Linked DNA regions of Saccharomyces cerevisiae S288C. The protein of the gene in region 3 interacts with the protein of the main gene of each other region in a pairwise test. Each region holds a gene or a part of one and is shown on either strand. Other genes may lie near its edges.

What was found.
Region 1: the proteins of HXT8 (region 3) and SGE1 interact in a protein complementation assay, tested with the Saccharomyces cerevisiae proteins (one large-scale study listed by BioGRID).
Region 2: the proteins of HXT8 (region 3) and YHR140W interact in a protein complementation assay, tested with the Saccharomyces cerevisiae proteins (one large-scale study listed by BioGRID).

What each region holds. Positions count from the first base shown.
Region 1 is NC_001148.4:932,029-936,291, forward strand, and holds SGE1 (Sge1p), read left to right. Parts: upstream 1-2,005; coding exon 2,006-3,637; downstream 3,638-4,263. Other genes in the region: YPR196W (putative maltose-responsive transcription factor), read left to right, coding at 1-760. UniProt on the Saccharomyces cerevisiae protein: Drug export permease. Multi-copy suppressor of loss-of-function mutation of GAL11. Involved specifically in transcription of GAL4-dependent genes. Can link GAL4 with the basal transcription machinery if GAL11 is missing.
Region 2 is NC_001140.6:378,679-381,887, reverse strand, and holds YHR140W (uncharacterized protein), read right to left. Parts: upstream 1,317-3,209; coding exon 597-1,316; downstream 1-596. Other genes in the region: YHR139C-A (uncharacterized protein), read left to right, coding at 1,469-1,780; SPS100 (Sps100p), read left to right, coding at 2,689-3,209.
Region 3 is NC_001142.9:24,931-29,121, reverse strand, and holds HXT8 (hexose transporter HXT8), read right to left. Parts: upstream 2,236-4,191; coding exon 526-2,235; downstream 1-525. Other genes in the region: oligo-1,6-glucosidase IMA5, read left to right, coding at 3,036-4,191. UniProt on the Saccharomyces cerevisiae protein: Probable glucose transporter.

The DNA.
Region 1 (4,263 bases), on a different chromosome or scaffold from region 3:
ATTTGGTGAGCAACAACTTATAAGAAAGGTTTACTATCTGCTTCTCATGACAGAGAGGTACTATGCCGTATACATTAAATGTGTAACAAGTTTGGATACCACTATATCTCCACCACAACCCGAAATCGTAACTGATTCCCGACTTTCTTTGGATAGTTTTCTTGAGGTGATTAAAGTATTCACTGTTCCTGGGAAATACTTTTACGATGCCTTAGCTACCAACAGTGTTAATGGTTCCTATACTGAAGACTCTCTAAAAAGGATATGGAATGAACTTCACATAAGCTCACTTGATATAGAGCCATACTCTTACGGATACATAGACTATCTCTTTTCTCGGCACTGGGTCAGGACTCTAGCATGGAAGTTGGTACTAAATAAGAAGGATATGCGGATGAATTTTTTTTCGAATACTAACGCCACACACATTCCAGTCGAAATAGCCAAGGATATGTTACAGGATACACTTTTAACTCCAATCGACCTATATGATGTGCATGGTCCTGTGATACCAATGAAGGCGCTAGAAATAGCCAATGCATTGGTAGACGTCGTAAGTAAGTATGATCACAATATGAAGTTGGAGGCTTGGAATATTTTGTGCGATGTATCTAAGTTCGTTTTCTCCCTGAAACATTGCAATCATAAAATGTTTCAAAGGTTTTCAACTAAATGTCAGAGTGCTCTAATCGATTTGCCTATCTCTAGACCACTGCGCCTAAATGATGATTCCAAGGATGAAGTCGACATTATTCCCTAAATGAACTTTATCTTCTTACAGTTTCAACATCTTGTGACCTGATGATTTTCCTCAAATGAACTTTTGCGTTTTCATTGAGAAAATTTCATTATACTTTATTTTTTTTATAAATGGGTACCAAGGCATTAAATATAGATCTGGTTTACTAATCTGAAGAAATTGTTTTCAACCACATAATTTGTGCAATTTGGCGCTATACAAAGCCCATGTTGGCTACATTAGTCTTTGAATCCTTTAGATTGCCTGAATCAATAGCTCATTCAAAATATTTTGGACAATCGATAGTTAACTGTAACATGTGCTGCTATATAGTGGCAATCTAGATGCATGTATCTTATATGATTAAGTATAAAAGAACCACAGCAAAGCTAAACGTAAATAAGTAGTTTAGAAAGTACTGGATATGAGTTAAGAATCTGTTAATTGAGCATGACATGAAAATTTTGTATTAAAGCAATATGAGTCGTCACATTAAATATATGAAACTACGGGAATTACCATCATATTGGTCATGATTAATAATAAACCAATCAGCATGTTTTTACCTCTATTATATTAGTCTTGGACCCGTATTCAACCTTCATTAATATTATCTTTTTACCTTTGTTCATAAACACAATACATTGTTTTTGCAAAATATAACAAAAAAGATTAAGGAAGAGGACCATGTACACTACGATCTTACTTTTGAAATAGAATTTGTTTATTTTTTCAAGATGTTAAACGAAGATGGTGAGTAATATTCACAAAACATTGTAAAAATATTACTTGCTTCATTCTGCGAATTGTTCAAACCCGTAAAGAAAATTTCTAGTATATGATATATGCATAATATCAATAGCTTTACAAAAATAGAATCCGAAAACTATCTAGAAGTTTACTCGTTTCTCAAGTTTTATTTAACAAAACATAGACGAGCTTTATTTCGTGTGAAGAAGTGAAGAAGCTTTAACAAAACTGTATTTCTAAAAGAACGTTACTATACAATAAATTATAAAACTGCATTAACCAATGAAAAAAAGCACTATTAATCGAAACTCGAATATGCAATATTGTTAATGTAAATTAAGCTATCGGTCCGTTTATTTTTCTATCGAAAAGCGGCTTAGTTAGAATGGTTGATAAACGGCTGCGCTTCGTAAAAAGAAATGACATCTTGGAACTACTTTAAATAGAAGTTTAAATCTCATGATCATGCTCATCTGTTTGTACAACACATAAGCTTCACCGTCAGACATATATGCAATGAAGAGTACTTTGAGTTTAACTTTATGTGTTATATCGCTTCTATTAACCCTTTTTCTGGCGGCCTTGGATATTGTTATAGTGGTTACTTTATATGATACAATTGGCATTAAGTTCCATGACTTCGGCAATATTGGTTGGTTAGTTACTGGATATGCTCTTTCTAATGCTGTTTTCATGTTATTATGGGGTCGCTTGGCCGAAATACTTGGTACAAAGGAGTGCTTAATGATTTCTGTTATTGTATTTGAAATAGGGTCTTTGATTTCTGCTCTTTCGAATTCAATGGCGACTCTGATTAGCGGAAGAGTCGTTGCTGGGTTTGGAGGAAGTGGAATTGAATCACTTGCTTTTGTAGTTGGAACATCCATTGTCCGAGAAAACCATAGAGGAATTATGATAACGGCACTCGCTATATCGTATGTCATTGCAGAGGGAGTCGGGCCTTTTATTGGTGGTGCATTTAATGAACATTTGTCTTGGAGATGGTGCTTTTATATAAATCTTCCAATCGGTGCGTTTGCGTTCATAATATTGGCATTTTGTAACACATCTGGAGAACCACATCAAAAAATGTGGCTACCATCAAAAATCAAAAAAATTATGAACTATGACTATGGCGAATTATTGAAAGCAAGTTTTTGGAAGAATACATTTGAAGTACTTGTATTTAAACTAGACATGGTTGGGATTATTTTATCTTCAGCAGGCTTTACACTACTGATGTTAGGTCTTTCATTTGGTGGAAACAACTTCCCATGGAATTCGGGTATCATTATTTGCTTTTTTACCGTGGGCCCTATCTTATTGTTACTATTTTGTGCTTACGACTTTCATTTTCTGTCATTATCGGGGCTTCACTATGACAACAAGCGGATCAAACCGTTACTGACATGGAATATTGCCTCAAATTGTGGCATATTTACAAGCTCCATAACAGGATTCCTTTCTTGCTTTGCTTATGAATTACAGTCTGCTTATTTAGTCCAGCTTTATCAACTAGTATTTAAAAAAAAGCCTACATTAGCGAGTATACATCTTTGGGAACTATCAATTCCAGCTATGATTGCAACTATGGCCATAGCATATCTAAATTCAAAATATGGCATCATCAAACCGGCAATTGTTTTTGGTGTGCTTTGTGGGATTGTTGGATCTGGTTTATTTACGCTAATCAATGGCGAACTCTCTCAGTCAATAGGTTATTCAATTCTCCCAGGAATAGCTTTTGGTAGTATTTTCCAAGCAACGTTATTAAGCTCCCAGGTGCAGATAACATCAGACGATCCAGACTTTCAAAACAAGTTTATTGAAGTCACAGCTTTCAACTCGTTCGCCAAATCCTTGGGCTTTGCGTTTGGAGGGAATATGGGGGCAATGATATTCACTGCATCACTCAAAAACCAGATGCGCTCTTCCCAATTAAACATACCACAATTTACGTCTGTAGAAACACTTTTAGCGTATAGCACAGAACATTATGATGGCCCCCAATCTTCACTATCAAAGTTCATAAACACAGCTATCCATGACGTTTTTTACTGCGCCTTAGGATGCTATGCTCTTTCATTCTTCTTTGGAATATTCACTTCGAGTAAGAAAACAACAATATCAGCCAAAAAGCAACAATGAACAATTTTCCAACGTATAAATTAACTTATCGTAGTTCGATAAAACTAGACAGTACTTATATATTATCTAACATCAGATGGTTTGTCTTTCATTATTTATTTAGTGATTAATGCTAGCTTTAAGCAAGCTTAGTTGCCTCAAGAAAGATTAATATTAAGCTACTGAGGATATAGCATTCGAATATAAAGATATAATCAAAGCTCATAATTACAAAATACCCTGTGATTAGGATATCATTATTACTAACAACACCGTTCCTAAACTAGCAGAAAGTTGACCAACTGTATAAAAATTAAATTTGTTCGTAAATACATATACATAAAATCCGCATTAAATGTGGACTTTCAGTTGAGCAAGTGTTAATGAATATCGTAGGATAGCAAATGAAGATTCGAATTTGATGAGGTCTCTTGTTCCGAGAACTATTGTTTAAGCCAAACCAGATTCAGTGTCTGTACTAAACAGTTGTCACAGAAAGGTGGTAGCTTTACTTTCCGTACATTAAATACAGAAAAATTACCACTTCTGTTGAAAATACTGTTTTGTGGGTTGGGATAATATAATCGTATATAATATCAATAAAACTGTTAATAAACTCTCGAGGATCTGATGTTGATTTTTCCCGT
Region 2 (3,209 bases), on a different chromosome or scaffold from region 3:
CCTATTTGGCGTAATTTTTCATCCTGCCTTTGAACCTGTTGTAAACGTTCGCGTTGGCAACCATGATAAGTTAACAAGACACGTAGGCGTTCGCACTAAAACACAGCATTGCTACTAAAGTACGTTACTAAGAACCAGTAAAAATAAATATGTATAAATAAAATGTAGATACAGCTGATTCCCAATATCTCATTTCAGAAATGATCAACACCAGGCGCCCAGCAACGTTCAATCTATCTACGCTTCAGTACTACTAAAAGTGGGAAAAACGTGGGCTTTTAGTCATTCCCTGCAATTTTAAGAAAACTGCATATACTAGTAGTACATTCGCGATATAATTATGATGTTGGCCTTTTTAAAACAAAAACCAAAAGGAATTTGATTATAACAAAACTAAAGAGGTGTGGAAAATTAATACAAACCTTCGACTTTTTATAGTGCGGTTCCTACACTTTTTTTTTTTCCCGCTTACCCTGGTGATTGATTTTTTGGGTTCCGTTGTAGGGCTAGCACGAAAATAAGAATTAAGTAGCAAAATTTGAGATTTGCTCACTTTACATACAAAGAGCTTAAATAGTAGTATACTAGTAGTAATGCTAATTCTTATCACCTTTCTTTGCCGACTTCTTGATGTATTTTGGCGGAAACTTTTGATAAAATACATAATAAGCCCACGTAATAGTAGCAACAACAACAAATATAATCGACTTGTACGGCTCGTTCACGTCTAGAAACGGGTATGGATAGGCTTGGCCTTGCCCCGCATCTATCAGGAATGCTAAATATTGAAAATATGAAAATGCTAAACTGGTTACAATGAGCCATGCATGCTTATTCGATAATTTGAATTTCGTGCCAGATCCCGATAAGTAGTGATCGGCTAGTAAATATAAAATAGGATATAAGTGGATTGCCATATCCACTGTCATAGGAAAAGGTGTCTTTGCAGTAGATTCAACTCCATGCATTATTAAGTTGACAAAAAACAATCTAAGCGGCCAATAAACGGTAGCAACAATAGATTCTAATACTAAAGAAACTGGCAAAGTGACATGTCTACTAATAAAGTCTGATTTTTTCTTGGTTTCTAGATTCATCTTATTGTTTCTTTGGATATAATAATTAGAAATGTTAACCGCGTTATTAATGATTGTTGCAATAATAGATATAATGGTTAGAAACTGTTTATGGCCTGCTTTACTTAAACTTGGAGGTAAGACTACAGATGTGGCCCTAACAAACCCCCAGGTGCTCGTCAAAAGACACGCGGTGTTAAGGGTCAAAGTAAAACGTGTTGGTACCAGACAAGACATCATGGATTCTCCTTGTATTATGGTTTTAAAATACGAGAAAAATTTGCTAAGAATACAGCAAGACTAGTGTAGAGATAATCACTGACATATAGAAAGTGACTTATATAATTCGAGAAAAAAGGGACTTATATACTTATCGGAGATCTTTTCATTAAATGCGAAGCGCAGACTTCTCTAATCCGCGGATCTTGTCAAATTTAATGAGCAAGTCTGAAAAGGAAAAGAGAGCGATCATTATTTTTAATTGTCGCTTAAACAAAGGATTATATGTCACTTCTGCATGCGTTTCACGCTCTGTTTTTAGATGCTGCAAACAGGAACCTCTTATAGAATTTGTATCCCCAAAAATGATAGCATTTGTTCAAATAGATGGACGCTATTTGACAAAAATGTTAACATGTGACATTCACGTCAGAAAAGAGGCCAAAGAAGGAAGAGGGTACCAGCAAATACATAAACTTTCCTAAGGAATAGGTTAAGTTCTTTTATTCTGCATGTGTGGATGCTTAAGGTCATTTTAACGAATGGGTCCATTAGCCCCGCGCCTTTTTCAGGTCAGCGAACGCTTATAATTCCAAGCCATCTCATGTTATCTCATTATTTTAATGTGAGCGAATATGCTTTTTTTTTTTCAATTGCTGCTATGAGATTATTGCTTCCATTACTAATGGTAGGGTTCAAGGAGGCTGAAAAACTGGATGGAAACGGAAATGAAAAATAAGGGGGAGGCGTAACGGTGGCAACGCTGCATAGTGAACAATTCATTACCTATTTATCATTTTTAGTTGGAATTTGGCCACCTTATGGCACATTTACCATTTGAGGGATCTGAAGATCAAGTCCGCCTTAAGGGTGCATATCATGCGTCATTTGTCTGCGTTAAGGTGCAGACGCTTCCCTTGAAAATCGCCGAAAGAAGCTAAGCCGAAGTGACACGGGCCTTTTCCTGCGTCAAAAGAAGCCGATGATCTACCAGAAAAAGATCATTCAACAGTTAAGGGCTACAGTAGTTCTCAGCGAATACCGGCTGATGTACAGAAGCGAATTCCTGTTGGGGAATCTCACTGTACCCTTCAAATATGTAATGTTAGAGTAGCAAAAGTTCTTGGCTTAGCAATTACATTTAACGCTGATGATCCTCGGTTTATGAGCAGAAAATAGGGAAAAACGTGTACAAATGATTCTCTCAGAATGTGCAACTAGCATCCCCTTTTAGAAATGCCTTGTTGAAAATTCCCCTAAGACGTTACTCATTAGAATACTATAAAAATTGGGAGGAAAGCTAAAAACACTTTTGGTTTCTCTTGTTCCTATCAATCATGCTCTAGTATTTGATTTCGATCAGTTTTCACATCTAAGAACCCAATCAGCTATTATGAAATTCACATCAGTGCTAGCATTTTTTCTTGCAACTTTAACAGCTTCTGCAACACCACTTTACAAGAGGCAGAACGTTACTTCTGGCGGCGGTACGGTCCCCGTGATCATCACGGGTGGACCTGCTGTATCTGGTAGCCAGTCAAACGTTACTACCACAACGCTATTCAACTCTACTTCCACCTTAAACATCACTCAACTTTACCAAATTGCTACTCAAGTTAATCAGACTTTACAAAGCGAATCGTCTTCCGGCATTATAATCGTCACAAACTGGCGTTCCATTGAAACTTTGAGTTTCTTCTGCTCAATCGTTTTTAATACATCAAAGACCATTGTCATTACTGAGAATTTCTTATGGGGTGTACCAATATTGAGTAGTTCGGACGCGGAAGGTAGAGGCACTTTGGTTGCCGGTAGAGATAAAGTTGTGTATTCTGGTGTTTTCCCTCCTTACACTGTTCCTGTGGGCGTTTTGTCTGGTCAGAAGAATGTTCAATGGTTCTTTGATGCCTGTGA
Region 3 (4,191 bases):
ACCTATGTACACACGAAAGTGCTTAAGTTATCATATGACGAACAGAGAATATCATATGTTCCATTTTTATTTTTCTATAAACAAAAGTTGCGTATTATTGTATTTTTTTGTTGTGTTATGCAATAAGCAGAGGCTACGATGTATTAATTAATCGGTTCCTCAAAAAAAAAAAAAAGTGATCTATAAAGCGTTGACGATAATCAATACTTTGTTATATTTTGGTAGTCCTGACGGGTTTCAAAATAAACAAAGTTAACAATCCGCCTACTAATTTGATTTGCTTTTTTTCATGGGCAGTAACATCAAGAAAACACTTTGTTGTTAAGCCCATCTAAGTATCATATTACCAAATCTTCTGTGAGTAAAATGATATAATAGGACTCAACGTGACTGTCAGTCTTCAGTAGCCCTGGTGTTTAATATATCGAATCAGTCTTAGGAATTAAAAAGCCCCTATATTACAGAGGGCATTGGACATTATTTATCAATGTACTTTGAAGTTTGCTTGCGTGTGTTTTCACCGGTCTAAAACATTCTTTTGTAGAAGGGTTTCTCGTCATGCTGTAATTTTTCGTTATCATAATCACCATCCCTTCTAGAAGCTGGTACCCAGGATTCAGATTTCCAAGGTAATACACCGTCCATCCACATCTCATCAACTTCTTCTAAAGTTAGACCTTTTGTTTCTGGAACAAAGAAAAAGACGTAAAAATATGAAAACGCTAAGCAACCCATGAAAACGTAACCGTAGTAGAAATTAATTGCCGAAGTAATAAAAGGAGTGAAAAACCCGATTAGGAACCCCCACAATAAGTTGGCCGCTGTTGCAACGGACATACACTTGGATCTCACCCTTAATGGAAATGTTTCAGAAATAATCACATAACATACAGGTCCCCAGGTGCAGGAAAAGCAGAAAATGTAAAAACACGTGAAAACAATCGTACAATTACCAGCACCTTTAGATGATGGTTCACTTTTACCGTTCGGATATAGTCTTGTGACGCCAACGGAGGCGTAAATAACCATGCACGCCGTCATGGTGGCTGCTCCAAGTAAAAGACATCTACGACGGCCCAACTTATCAACAGAATAAAGTGAAAAGAAGCAAGAAGCAAAATTCACAATACCCAAGACAATTGAAGTCTCAAAAGAGTCATTCATACCGACAGATTTGAAGATAGTAGTACCGTAGTAGAAGAAATAGTTGTCACCGGTTAGTTGCTGCAGAGAGTTAATCATGACTGTCATCGTTAAACGTTGAAAAACTTTAGTCTTTCTCGAAAATAATTCCTTCCATGAAGCAGTTCCCATTGCTTCTTCTGCCTCCACACCAGCAACAAGAAGATCAATCTCTGCAACCACAGCAGGATCGTCAACACTAAGCTTGTTCGACTTGGCAAAAGAAGCTTTAGCTTGCTCAATCTTACCGACTTGCACCAAAAACCGAGGAGATTCCGGAACAAACGTCATACCACCAATCATAATAATAGCCCATGCAAAACATAGACCAAGCGGAACACGCCACTGGACAGAATTCGAGTAAGTCTTGGTACCATAATTGGTACAATAACCCAAGAAAATTGCGAAAGTCACCATCAATTGCCAACAAGCTAGCAACGTACCTCTGATATGCTTTGGCGCAGTTTCCGAAATAAGCATCGGGGCAAGAACACTAATGGAACCAGCACCTATACCAGCGATAATTCTTCCAATAAAATACTGATACCACTTATCTATAGAGGCAATTTGAATGACAATACCAACCATATAAACGACAATAACTATAATCAAACCCATGCAGCGGCCGTAAATATCACCCAATTTAGACAAGAAAAGACAGCCAATGGCGCTTCCCACATTGAAGATGGACACAATCAACCCAGTTCTCACATTAGATAAGTAGTAAGTGTTCTTGGAATGGCTATAATTACCAAATCTTCTTAAAAAATCAGTCTGATTGACGAAACCAGAAATCGTACCTGTGTCCCAACCGGACATAAATCCACCGAAAGCCATACATAAACACATGATAGAAACAGTAGCATAGGCTGAAGCAGGCTTTTCTGGAACAACAACTTCCTCTGCCTCTTCCCCATTATACTCGGAAAAGTCCTTGTTTTCCTCCACTGTAGGTACTGACAGATGTGAAGAATTTTCTATCGAAGGGCAGCCATCATCTTCTGCCTCTTCGAAAATCGGTTCTTCTGGCAAGTTGGTTTTACGATCAGTCATGGTTTTTGCTGGCGTTCTGAGCTAACTAAAAGTGACTTATAAAAAATGCAATCTAAAATAAGAATGAAACAAAAATGGTCGTTTAAATATATCTAGTCAAGCTTCATCCCTTACAATGGTTAGCGATGATATTCCGTCGTCCAAAAGATTACGACCATGCCAGTTCATATTATTTTACTTAAGAGTTCATGTCTTTCATGCGAAGAAGCGTTCGGAAATTCCAAAACTTCTTAGAGTTCAGGAACAGGCCCGGTCGCGGAATTATTCTCGGGATAATTCCAGCCGCTTGGCAGGTAGGCTAAATTACACATTTCAAGAACTTTCTCCGGCCTTTTCTGTGAGATACGTTTATAAGTTGCTGCAGCAGGATGCTCTAGGCTGCTTTCTCTGGAATTTCTCTCCTTCTCCACATACCTCGTTGTTGAATCCCCGCGGAGGTGATATAATAAAGTTGCGTGAAAGCGTAAATGCCTAGACGGAGAAAAGAAAACGGGGAAATAAACTTTGCATTATTTTTCCTCCGTGGAGAATCCTCGGAGAAACACGGGAATATTTGAAACTATTTGCAACATTGTCCATTGAAATAGTCACAATCCTAGAAGCTAATTCACCGGAAAAAGTAATTCACACTTAAGAATTGTATCTTCCATTACCGCTACGGTAATTGATACGGTTTTGAGGAGTAAGTTCATAAACGTCTGACGAATTATAAATTAGGACACTTGTTCACATATCTTGGTGCGAAAAACTACTGTTTCTTGATGACTATATAGAAAGTGCTCAATATTGAAAAGAAAAACATGACGATCATCCATAATCCTAAATGGTGGAAAGAAGCCACCGTCTACCAAATTTATCCTGCTAGTTTCAAGGACTCCAACAATGACGGATGGGGTGATTTAGCTGGGATTACCTCCAAACTTGACTATGTCAAAGAATTAGGTGTCGATGCGATATGGGTGTGCCCATTTTATGACTCTCCTCAAGAAGATATGGGTTACGATATTGCCAACTATGAGAAGGTTTGGCCACGTTACGGTACCAATGAGGATTGTTTCCAAATGATAGAAGAAGCTCATAAGAGAGGTATCAAGGTTATTGTTGACCTGGTTATCAACCACTGTTCTGAAGAGCATGAATGGTTCAAGGAGAGTAGATCTTCTAAGGCTAATCCAAAGCGTGACTGGTTTTTCTGGAGACCTCCAAAGGGTTACGATGAGAAAGGTAATCCAATTCCTCCCAACAATTGGAGATCTTTCTTTGGTGGATCTGCTTGGAGATATGACGAAAAAACTGGTGAGTTCTTTCTGCATGTGTTTGCTCTTGGCCAACCTGATTTCAATTGGGAAAATGAAGAGTGCCGTAAAGCCATTTATGACTCCTCAGTGGGCTATTGGCTACGTCACAACGTTGATGGCTTTCGTATTGACGTAGGCAGCATGTATTCTAAGGTTGAGGGCCTACCCGATGCTCCTATCACTGATCCTACAGTTCCTTACCAAAAAGGAACTGAATTTTTCATAAATGGGCCACGTATCCATGAGTATCATAAAGAAATGCATAACTACATGCTCTCGCAAGTTCCAGAGGGTAAAGAAATCATGACTGTTGGAGAAGTTGGTATCGGGAATGAAGACGACTTCAGAGTTTATACCAGTGCCAAAGAAGGAGAACTAAATATGATGTTCAACTTCAAGCACACCTCAGTAGGTGAAAACCCAAAATGCAAGTACGAACTTATTCCCTTTACTTTAAAAGACTTTAAGCTGGCTCTTGCTGAAAGCTTTCTGTTTATCGAAAACACAGATTGCTGGTCGACCATCTATTTGGAGAATCATGATCAACCTCGTAGCGTTTCGCGTTTTGGCTCAGATTCTCCTAAATGGCGTGAGATTTCGTCCAAGATGTTGGCTACTCTCATCATTTCATTGACTGGTACTGTTTTTATCTACCAAG